Xenopus tropicalis: one gene and its partner. The protein of the gene in region 1 binds, or shares a complex with, the protein of each later gene. Links are inferred from orthologs where the notes say so. Each region holds a gene or a part of one and is shown on either strand. Other genes may lie near its edges.

The links.
Region 2: the proteins of farsb (region 1) and farsa are in contact, whole or in part, in a crystal structure (PDB 3L4G), measured with the Homo sapiens proteins. The link is inferred for Xenopus tropicalis from reciprocal best matches to the Homo sapiens genes FARSB and FARSA. Residues at the interface, in NP_005678.3 of Homo sapiens: Glu26, Phe29, Gly32, Leu33, Pro68, Ala69, Asn70, Ile150, Arg152, Asp259, Thr261, Lys262, Arg305, Lys316, Lys317, Val318, Gly319, Ile359, His360, Cys362, Asp363, Glu366, Ala369, Ile370, Tyr374, Asn375, Ile377, Gln378, Met379, Thr380; in NP_004452.1 of Homo sapiens: Ser221, Gly222, His223, Leu224, His225, Leu227, Leu228, Arg231, Ser232, Arg235, Leu239, Gly242, Phe243, Thr244, Glu245, Pro247, Asp249, Asn250, Phe251, Ile252, Glu253, Ser254, Phe263, Gln266, Gln267, Phe277, Phe278, Leu279, Arg280, Asp281.

Annotation. Positions count from the first base shown.
Region 1 is NC_030681.2:125,109,129-125,112,945, reverse strand, and holds part of farsb (phenylalanine--tRNA ligase beta subunit), read left to right. Parts: intron 1-541; coding exon 542-614; intron 615-1,230; coding exon 1,231-1,346; intron 1,347-1,536; coding exon 1,537-1,687; intron 1,688-2,516; coding exon 2,517-2,625; intron 2,626-2,826; coding exon 2,827-2,897; intron 2,898-3,305; coding exon 3,306-3,367; intron 3,368-3,450; coding exon 3,451-3,502; intron 3,503-3,817.
Region 2 is NC_030679.2:139,734,143-139,738,525, forward strand, and holds the start of farsa (phenylalanine--tRNA ligase alpha subunit), read left to right. Parts: upstream 1-1,302; 5' UTR 1,303-1,342; coding exon 1,343-1,492; intron 1,493-2,647; coding exon 2,648-3,079; intron 3,080-3,244; coding exon 3,245-3,363; intron 3,364-4,383.

The DNA of each region.
Region 1 (3,817 bases):
TATGTGAAGGCCATCTCCCATGGACTCCGGTTTAATTAAATAATTCAGTTTTTCTTTGTAATAATAAAGCAGTACCCTGTTCTTGATCCTAACTAAAATATAATTAATCCTTAAGTATCTTTGGGGGTGTAGTTTTCCTTTAAATATGAGCTAAAACATGAATACAGATTACATTGGCAGGTATAATATATATGTATTTGTATTTAATTCCCCTTCTTTGACCAAACAGTGATTAAACATGGTAAAATAATTGCTTAGCTTTACTAACATGGCCTGTAAAGGATTACTTTTAATTCACAGAAATGTAAAGCCTTTTGCAAAATGTACCCTACTTAATGTCAGTAAAATCACCTAAAATGTGTGTGTATAATTACACTAAAATAATAATTTTTTTTATTTTTGTGTGTGTTGCTGATTAGTTAATGACTTTTAATTCCTTCTTTTCTTAAGGGGCTAGTCTTTAGAGCTGCCATTTTCCCATATCACATTAAGTAAAAAAATATATATGTTTAATATATTTGTATAATATTTTCCTTTGCAGGTTAGAAGCACCAAGGTACAAGAGGATCACTCCATCAGATCAAGGGCTGCAGAGACTTTTCATCACAGAGGAGGTACATCCCTATTTATACATGTTAAACACCTACACTTAAGTTTAGTTATGTTTTTGTTATGAGTTGTCAACAGTGCATGTCAACAGTTGTCAAAATGTGTGCCATGCATGCAATCCCATCTGACCACAAAGCCTTTTTCCAACATTTTTAAGTTGTGGCTTCTTTTGTGCCACACTCCCATACAGACCAGTGTTATTCAGAGCTCTAGATATGGTTGACTGGTGCAACTCTACCCCAATCTCAGCTACTAGACTCTCTGGTCGGATTGAAGCAGATAAACATCAGAAGACTCTTCTTTGCTCAGTAATTTATCTTCTGATAGATGGATGGCCAAACTGAACAGCTCATAGCACTGCTGATTCAAATTCATTATTTTGCAGTAAATACTGCTTATATCTTGAAACTAGAAAAACAAATGCAGATTGCAAAGGAGTTCAGAAGAGCACTCCCCATTAATTTGTCCCCATTAACTTGTACAGCGGAAACATTGCTTTATTGGACCTTATATTGGTTACATTTATTCTCTCTATTACACAATCAATTTCTGTATTTATTAGATAAGAGTTACTTAATTTACAATAAGATTTTTAGGCATTCATCATGTTTTCTCCTCTAGACTGCTGTAGTTCGCCCCCATGCAGTGGCTGCAGTACTCCGGAACATTACATTTACTCAGGAACGATATGATAGTTTCATTGATCTGCAGGAGAAGCTTCACCAGAACATCTGCAGGTACCTATAACTTCTACAGATAACTGTGCTTTTTATAGCTGGCTTTGTGATTTTGTATGTATATGTGTGTACCATATTTGTACACACATACAGTGCATACATATCTACATGAATAGTTTGTTGCCGTGCTGGGGGCAGCGGTGCATGTTATTCCTTGCAAGTCTGACATTCATTTTGGTTTAATTAACAGGCGGAGGACTTTGGTGGCAATTGGCACACATGACCTGGACACTATCTCTGGCCCATTTGTATACACAGCTAAACCACCTGCAAGTATTAAATTTAAGGCCTTGAACCAAAGCAAGGAGTTAACAGCCCCAGAGCTAATGGACCTGTACAGAGTGAGTACCAAGCCTTATGTTATGTAGTGCTCTCTGGTGATGCAGGAAGTTGAATTTAACAGCTGGTGGGCCACAGGACTTCCCTAACAGAAAATGCTCAATCAACTTTAATAATCTTCCATATTTAGTTTTTTCTCTTAGGGGATGCACAAATGGCCATAGCCTGAATAGCGGCTACAGAAGTGGTTCTACAGGGCTGTAATTAGCCCTCTTATTACCTTAGTAGTGATTTTATTTACTTGCATGCCTAAATGGAGAAGTTTAGTTTATCAAGAATCTGTATTTACTATTTTACTATATTTAATTTAAGAATGTATAGATAATTGTACAACAGATTTTTTTTTTTTTTTCTTTTAATAAGCTTAAATAAAAACCGCAACCTTAGTGGCCATAAATATATGGGATTTTGTGTATTCAGAGGCAAACCATATTGCATCTGTTATTCAAAAAATACTTTGTAAACCAAATCAGGCAGCAGCGATATGGTTAGCTTGCCATTATTGAGGCATTTGCTAAGGAGTCCTGTTATATTAAAGGTTTTCTTGGGTTGCAGCATGGGTACTGGAACCAGTGAATCCTTTGTAGTTTTACAAAGAAGAAATGTTCTTGTGAATTACGCAGCCCTTCCTCATTAAAGGGCTTTAGGGAGCTCTTCAAAAACCAGTACACCTAGGAATTTGCACAGTCTTGAATACTGCATGAACTGCTATCTAAACAATAATACAGTTAGTGTCCATAAAGGTAATAGGAAGGAAAGTCCCTCTCTTACCATTGCTTGTGTCCCTTGTCTGGAGCAGTATAATGAACTGATCATGTGTTCCTCACCCAGACTGACAGCCATATGAAGCACTATCTGCACATTGTTGAGGATAAGCCTGTTTATCCAGTAATCTATGACCGCAACGGAGTGCTGCTGTCCATGCCGCCGATCATCAATGGTAAGAAGGTAGAATTAGCAATGCTAAGGTTGAAAGTGCTGCGTATTGTAATCAAGAATAGGTGTTTTTGCATTTCCTTTCCAGCAATACAGACCTTTACTATTCACCTGTTAATGCAAGCATGCTGCTTTCTGTCATTAATGCATCTACTATTTGCATCGTTCAACTGCATTGGTAAAGTGTGTATATCTTTTCATGTAGGGGATCATTCAAGAATCACCTTAAATACTCGCAACGTATTCATTGAATGCACCGCAACTGATTTGACAAAGGTAATGCCCAGCTGTAACTGATTTAGCTCAGATATATGTTTTGGGCAATGCATTCTTTTTTTTTTTTTTTTTTTTTTTAAATTGTTTTTATTGAATTTTATTTAACATAAAGAAAGAAGCGAGAGGAGATAGGAAAGAATGGAAAATAGCATGTTACGGTTCTTGGCACAGACAGTCTAGACAATAACTTCCTTATGTAGCACTTAGTACAGGCATTGATTTTCTTACATTGGTTCGAGCTAGACATATGCAGCCTAAACATAGGTAGATGTATAGACATCTGTGTTTTGCTGTTAATTTGTATTTATGTTAATAAACTGTTTCCCAACGTATATTGTTTACTGTTGTTTCCGAGGGCAGTGCATTCTTAGGGGCTATTGCACTTAAAAATGTTTTTTTGTTTCACAGGCCAAAATAGTCTTGGATATTATGGTCACCATGTTTAGTGAATACTGTGCTGAACCATTCACGTGAGTAAATTGCAGTAGAAACCTGGTGCTTTGGCAGTGAGCAATATTTATTTATAAATGTCCCGTGTGTTATTGCTTTGCAGTGTAGAGGCAGCAGAAGTTATTCAGCCAGATGGATCGACTTCTATTTACCCAGTAAGTAGCCTACACCTTACTGTCATTTTGTAATTATTACTGGATGCTGAATTTAAACCCATTTCAAACCCATGCCACCTTTTATATACATTTTAATGGACCCTTTTTTCTTTATATGCACCATATTAGATAATTGCCACACAGTGGCAAATAGAGACTGTATGCAAAACCATAGGCTATACCTAATGCTCTCTAAATCTTCCCAGTAAATACCAGTGCATATGGAAAGTCATTACTTTTGACTGAATGTAGGCCTGATTTATCAAATCCCTGGATGTAGGGATGTAGTCATGGTGGCTGCCATTCATATTTTAA
Region 2 (4,383 bases), on another chromosome or scaffold:
GAAGGATGTTGGGGAGGACACTGGGAGGGAGCTGGAGGATGCTGGGATGGAACTGGAGGATGCTGGGAGGAAGCTGGAAGATGTTGGGTGGATGCAGGGGGGAGCTGGTGGATGCTGGGGGAGCTGGAGGATGTTGGGTGGATGCTGGAGGATGTTGGGTGGATGCTGGGGGGAGCTGGAGGATGTTGGGTGGATGCTGGAGGATATTGGGTGGATGCTGGGGGGAGCTGGAGGATGTTGGGTGGATGCTGGGGGGAGCTGGAGGATGTTGGGTGGATGCTGGGGGGAGCTGGAGGATGTTGGGTGGATTCTGGGGGGAGCTGGAGGATGTTGGGTGGATGCTGGGGGGAGCTGGAGGATGTTGGGTGGATGCTGGGGGGAGCTGGAGGATGTTGGGTGGATGCTGGGGGAGCTGGAGGATGTTGGGTGGATGCTGGAGGATGTTGGGAGGATGCTGGGGGGAGCTGGAGGATGTTGGGTGGATGCTGGGGGGAGCTGGAGGATGTTGGGTGGATGCTGGGGGGAGCTGGAGGATGTTGGGTGGATGCTGGGGGGAGCTGGAGGATGTTGGGTGGATGCTGGGGGGAGCTGGAGGATGTTGGGTGGATGCTGGGGGGAGCTGGAGGATGTTGGGTGGATGCTGGGGGGAGCTGGAGGATGTTGGGTGGATGCTGGGGGGAGCTGGTGGATGCTGTAGTTTGGAGCGGCCCAAAGTAGGGGGACACTGGGGGAGGACCAGCAATGTTTTAGGGGGTCCCTGCTCTGGCACCAATTCAAAACATAACACCTGGCTACCAATGTCTGTCATGAGTCATGATATACAGGTGCCACAGTGCGTAATGAAATCCTTAGTGCAACAATATGTCATAAAATGATTGGGGCCACAGTGTCTGTCTTCTGATGCACTTTGTGTATGTTATGCTTTTCAGGTGTGGTTTTATAAAATGGTCCCTCCTTCTACTTTTCAAATTTTGGGAGGCTCCCCCTAAGTGATTTTGAAGCACTCTGGAAAATAGGTCGCCAGACAAAGGACCTTTTCCTGTGGGCACCATAACAAATGTTTATTTAGAGAAGGTATAACCCCGTTATCTTACGTGGGGCGGCCAGAGAACAGGGTGCAAGAATATAACTATAGTTAATTCGATGGAGGTGAGAGTAGTATGATGGCCTCTATCGCATGTATGGGGGTGACAGAGAGGGCTACGATGGGAGTAGCAAGATGGCGTACTTCCGGCATAAGACTCGCATCTCAGTGAAGCCGGCCGAAGTCTGACTTCCTGCCTGCAGCTAATATGACATTTCCGGGTGATTCGTGCGCAGGCGCAGTGAGCAGGCCGGCAGCATGGCAGACAACTCAGTATCGGAGCAGCTGTTACAGAGATTACAAGATGGAGGCAGTAAAGGCGTGGATAGCTTGGAGCTGGCGGCCCTGCTCGGCGTGGAGCATCAGCAGGTGGTGGGGGCAGTGAAGAGCCTGCAGTGCCTGGGGCAGGTGAGGGGCAGCTTCTGATGCAATAACACTCACCCCCGCCATAGGGACATTACAGGGGATCAGCTGTGCCCATTGGCTGGCAGTCAGCTCCTTCAGCTGTGCCCATTGGCTGCTTATGTGCTGACAGTCAGTTCCCTGTAACCTGCAGGCAAAGTTGGCATCTAGTAGTGATAACTGTCAGCCATGTATAAGCCACCCTTGTGCTTACTGACCTTTATGTGTGACTGCTCCAGGGGCTTATTATAGGTATCTGGGTGGGTGAATAGGATCACTTGGGGGGATTTATTTCCCAGGCCTTGATTCTCATAGGGTGTGTGTCGGGCCCTATTTTGCCACCCCCAGGAGTTTAAGGAAACTTTCCCTAGCACTTAAAATAGAACTAATGTTTACCAGGGTAGAATGCTGTATTATATACTGGACTTACCTTCCCACTCCAGAGACTCAGCAGCCCTAAAACAGTAACAATCCAGCCCTATCAAGTTGCCCACAGCAGATCTTGTTAGGCCATCTTTTGTGTGTCGGTGGCACGGCACATGCTCAGTGGCCTCTGGCCGACTCAGAAGCCACTGGAAGTAATCAAGCAAAATATGAGGTTCATATGTCACAGAGGCTGATGCTATAGGGCTGATTATTATTAATCTGAATGAATTACTAATTAGCCGGACTTTTATATTGTATATTGTGAGTTGGTCCCTACGCTCAGGTAAGTGACAACAGGAGACTGTAGGAGAGCAGTTATATAGAGGCCTGTCCCCTGGGTCTCTTGGCTACCTATTAATGCCCCTGCATCCCATCGATAGCTGAAAGGCCATTTGGGTACTGCAGGCAGCTAAGCATACTTCCATTCCCAAGGTATCGGGTCCTGAGGATCCTATGGACCTAGCTTTTTGGTTGTTAGGGTCCAGTTTGCCCTAGCAACCAAGCAGTGGTGGGAACGAGAGACTGGTAAATGAATTGGAGATGCCTGAATAGAAAGATAAGTAACAATAACAGTAATATTGTAGAGTCACAGAGCAATAGGTTTTTGGCTGTCGGGGTCAGTGACCCCCTTCCATTTGAAAACTGGAAATATATAGAGGGGAAGGTAAAGCCGACTGAAGTATGGAGCTGCCTAGCTATTCTCTAATACTGCCATTTCTCCCTCTTCACCTGCAGATAATTGAGGCGGAACAGCGCTCCAGCAAGAAATGGGAGCTCAGCTCAGAAGGGGAAGAGATTGCCCGCGAGGGGAGCCACGAGGCCAGGGTCTTCCACAGCCTGCCCAAAGAAGGCTTGCTTCAGAGCGAGCTGATGGTGAGTGGCCGAGGGGATGCCTGGCTTATACATATTTATGTAGGGGGGGGCTGTGATACATGGCTCACTAGCATGAACTATAACTCCCAGCATTCTCACTTAGTACAGAGATGCCACACTTGCTTCCTTCCCTCTCAGTGCAGAACTCACACAGACTATTACAAGGCTCATTTTGTTGTGTTGAATCCTCTGCAGAAGCAGCCCATAGCTAAAGTTGGCTTCAGTAAAGCCATGTCCAACAAATGGGTCCGTGTGGATAAAGCAGCAGAAGGAGGGCCCCGCATCTACAGAGTGGTGAGTCCTGATGTCTGTCCCTGTTAGCTGTCTCCTCTCTCTCTTTGTCCCTCTACTTTCCGTGTCTCTCTCTATCTATGTCTCTCCTCTGTTCTATTTGTCCTCACCTTTCCATCTCTCTCCACCTCACCATTCCCTCACTTTCACCCCCTGCCGTTCTTGCAGGTAGACTCCATAGAGGACGCAGTGAAGGAGAAACTCCAGCTCATCCTCAAGGGAAAGGCCGATGATGTGAATGAGAAGGACAAGAACGAGCTGAAGAAGAGGAAACTTGTCAATGAAGTGTAAGTCCGGAAACACTAATCCCTACGCCATTGCTTATTGTTACATGGGTAAGTTGTTGCTAGGCAGGACCCCAGTAACGTCTCCTCTAAGCCCAGCGTTATGATAGGCTACACAGGTGGTATCTACCACATTGCATAGCTGGTGTCCAAATGTAGGTGGGCATTCATGGCAATAGGTTAGTGTTGGTGTATGCTTTGTGTTAGAGTTCTGTAGGACAGGTGCCCATGGGTTACAGTTTTTTGGGTTTAGTCCTTTAACCTTCCCAACCTAGGATTGTGGGGAGTGTTTACTAAGATTGGAGATAAATATCTCCGGTGATGTTGCCCATAGCAACCATTCAGCAATAAGATTTGAACAGTCACCAACAAGTTAGAAATCAAAGCAAAGACCTAATTGGTTGCTACAGGCAACATCACTGGTGATATTTATCTCCATTCTTAGTAAACATACCCCTTAGTCCCTTCCAGGCTATGACAGTGCTACTTCTGTTTTTACAGTTGGCAGTAGGTATTGGGCAAGATCAGGTAAAAATGGGGGTCATATTTAATTAGAATCTAATTTGAGCAGAATTAGTGAGAATATAACCCGACTGCCACCCGTTATTGCCCATTGACTGGGCCCATTGTGTAACAAAAGAGCATCAATGCTGAATTCATACACTAGGGGGCAGTGCAGTACCAGTCAGCATATATACAATAGATTTTGGTTGGAAACCATATACAATGGGGTGAATCAGTGACACCATATAAGCTGCACTGGAGCAGTCATACTAAAGAAGCAATAAATCAAATGTAAACTAAATATTTCAGAGATATTTGACTATTTTTACCCCTCGCCCTGATTAGATTTCTTTGGATCTTTGAATTGCAGAGGCAATTCTCAGTATTGTCTATGGCAGGGGATTTTCTGACGTTAAGTAGATGTGACAAGTAGCTGCTATTAAGTAGCTCTGTGTGTCTGTCTTTATGGGGAAACAGCAAGTCCAGCTTTCTTTGGAAATTGCTTTATATCCTTGATAT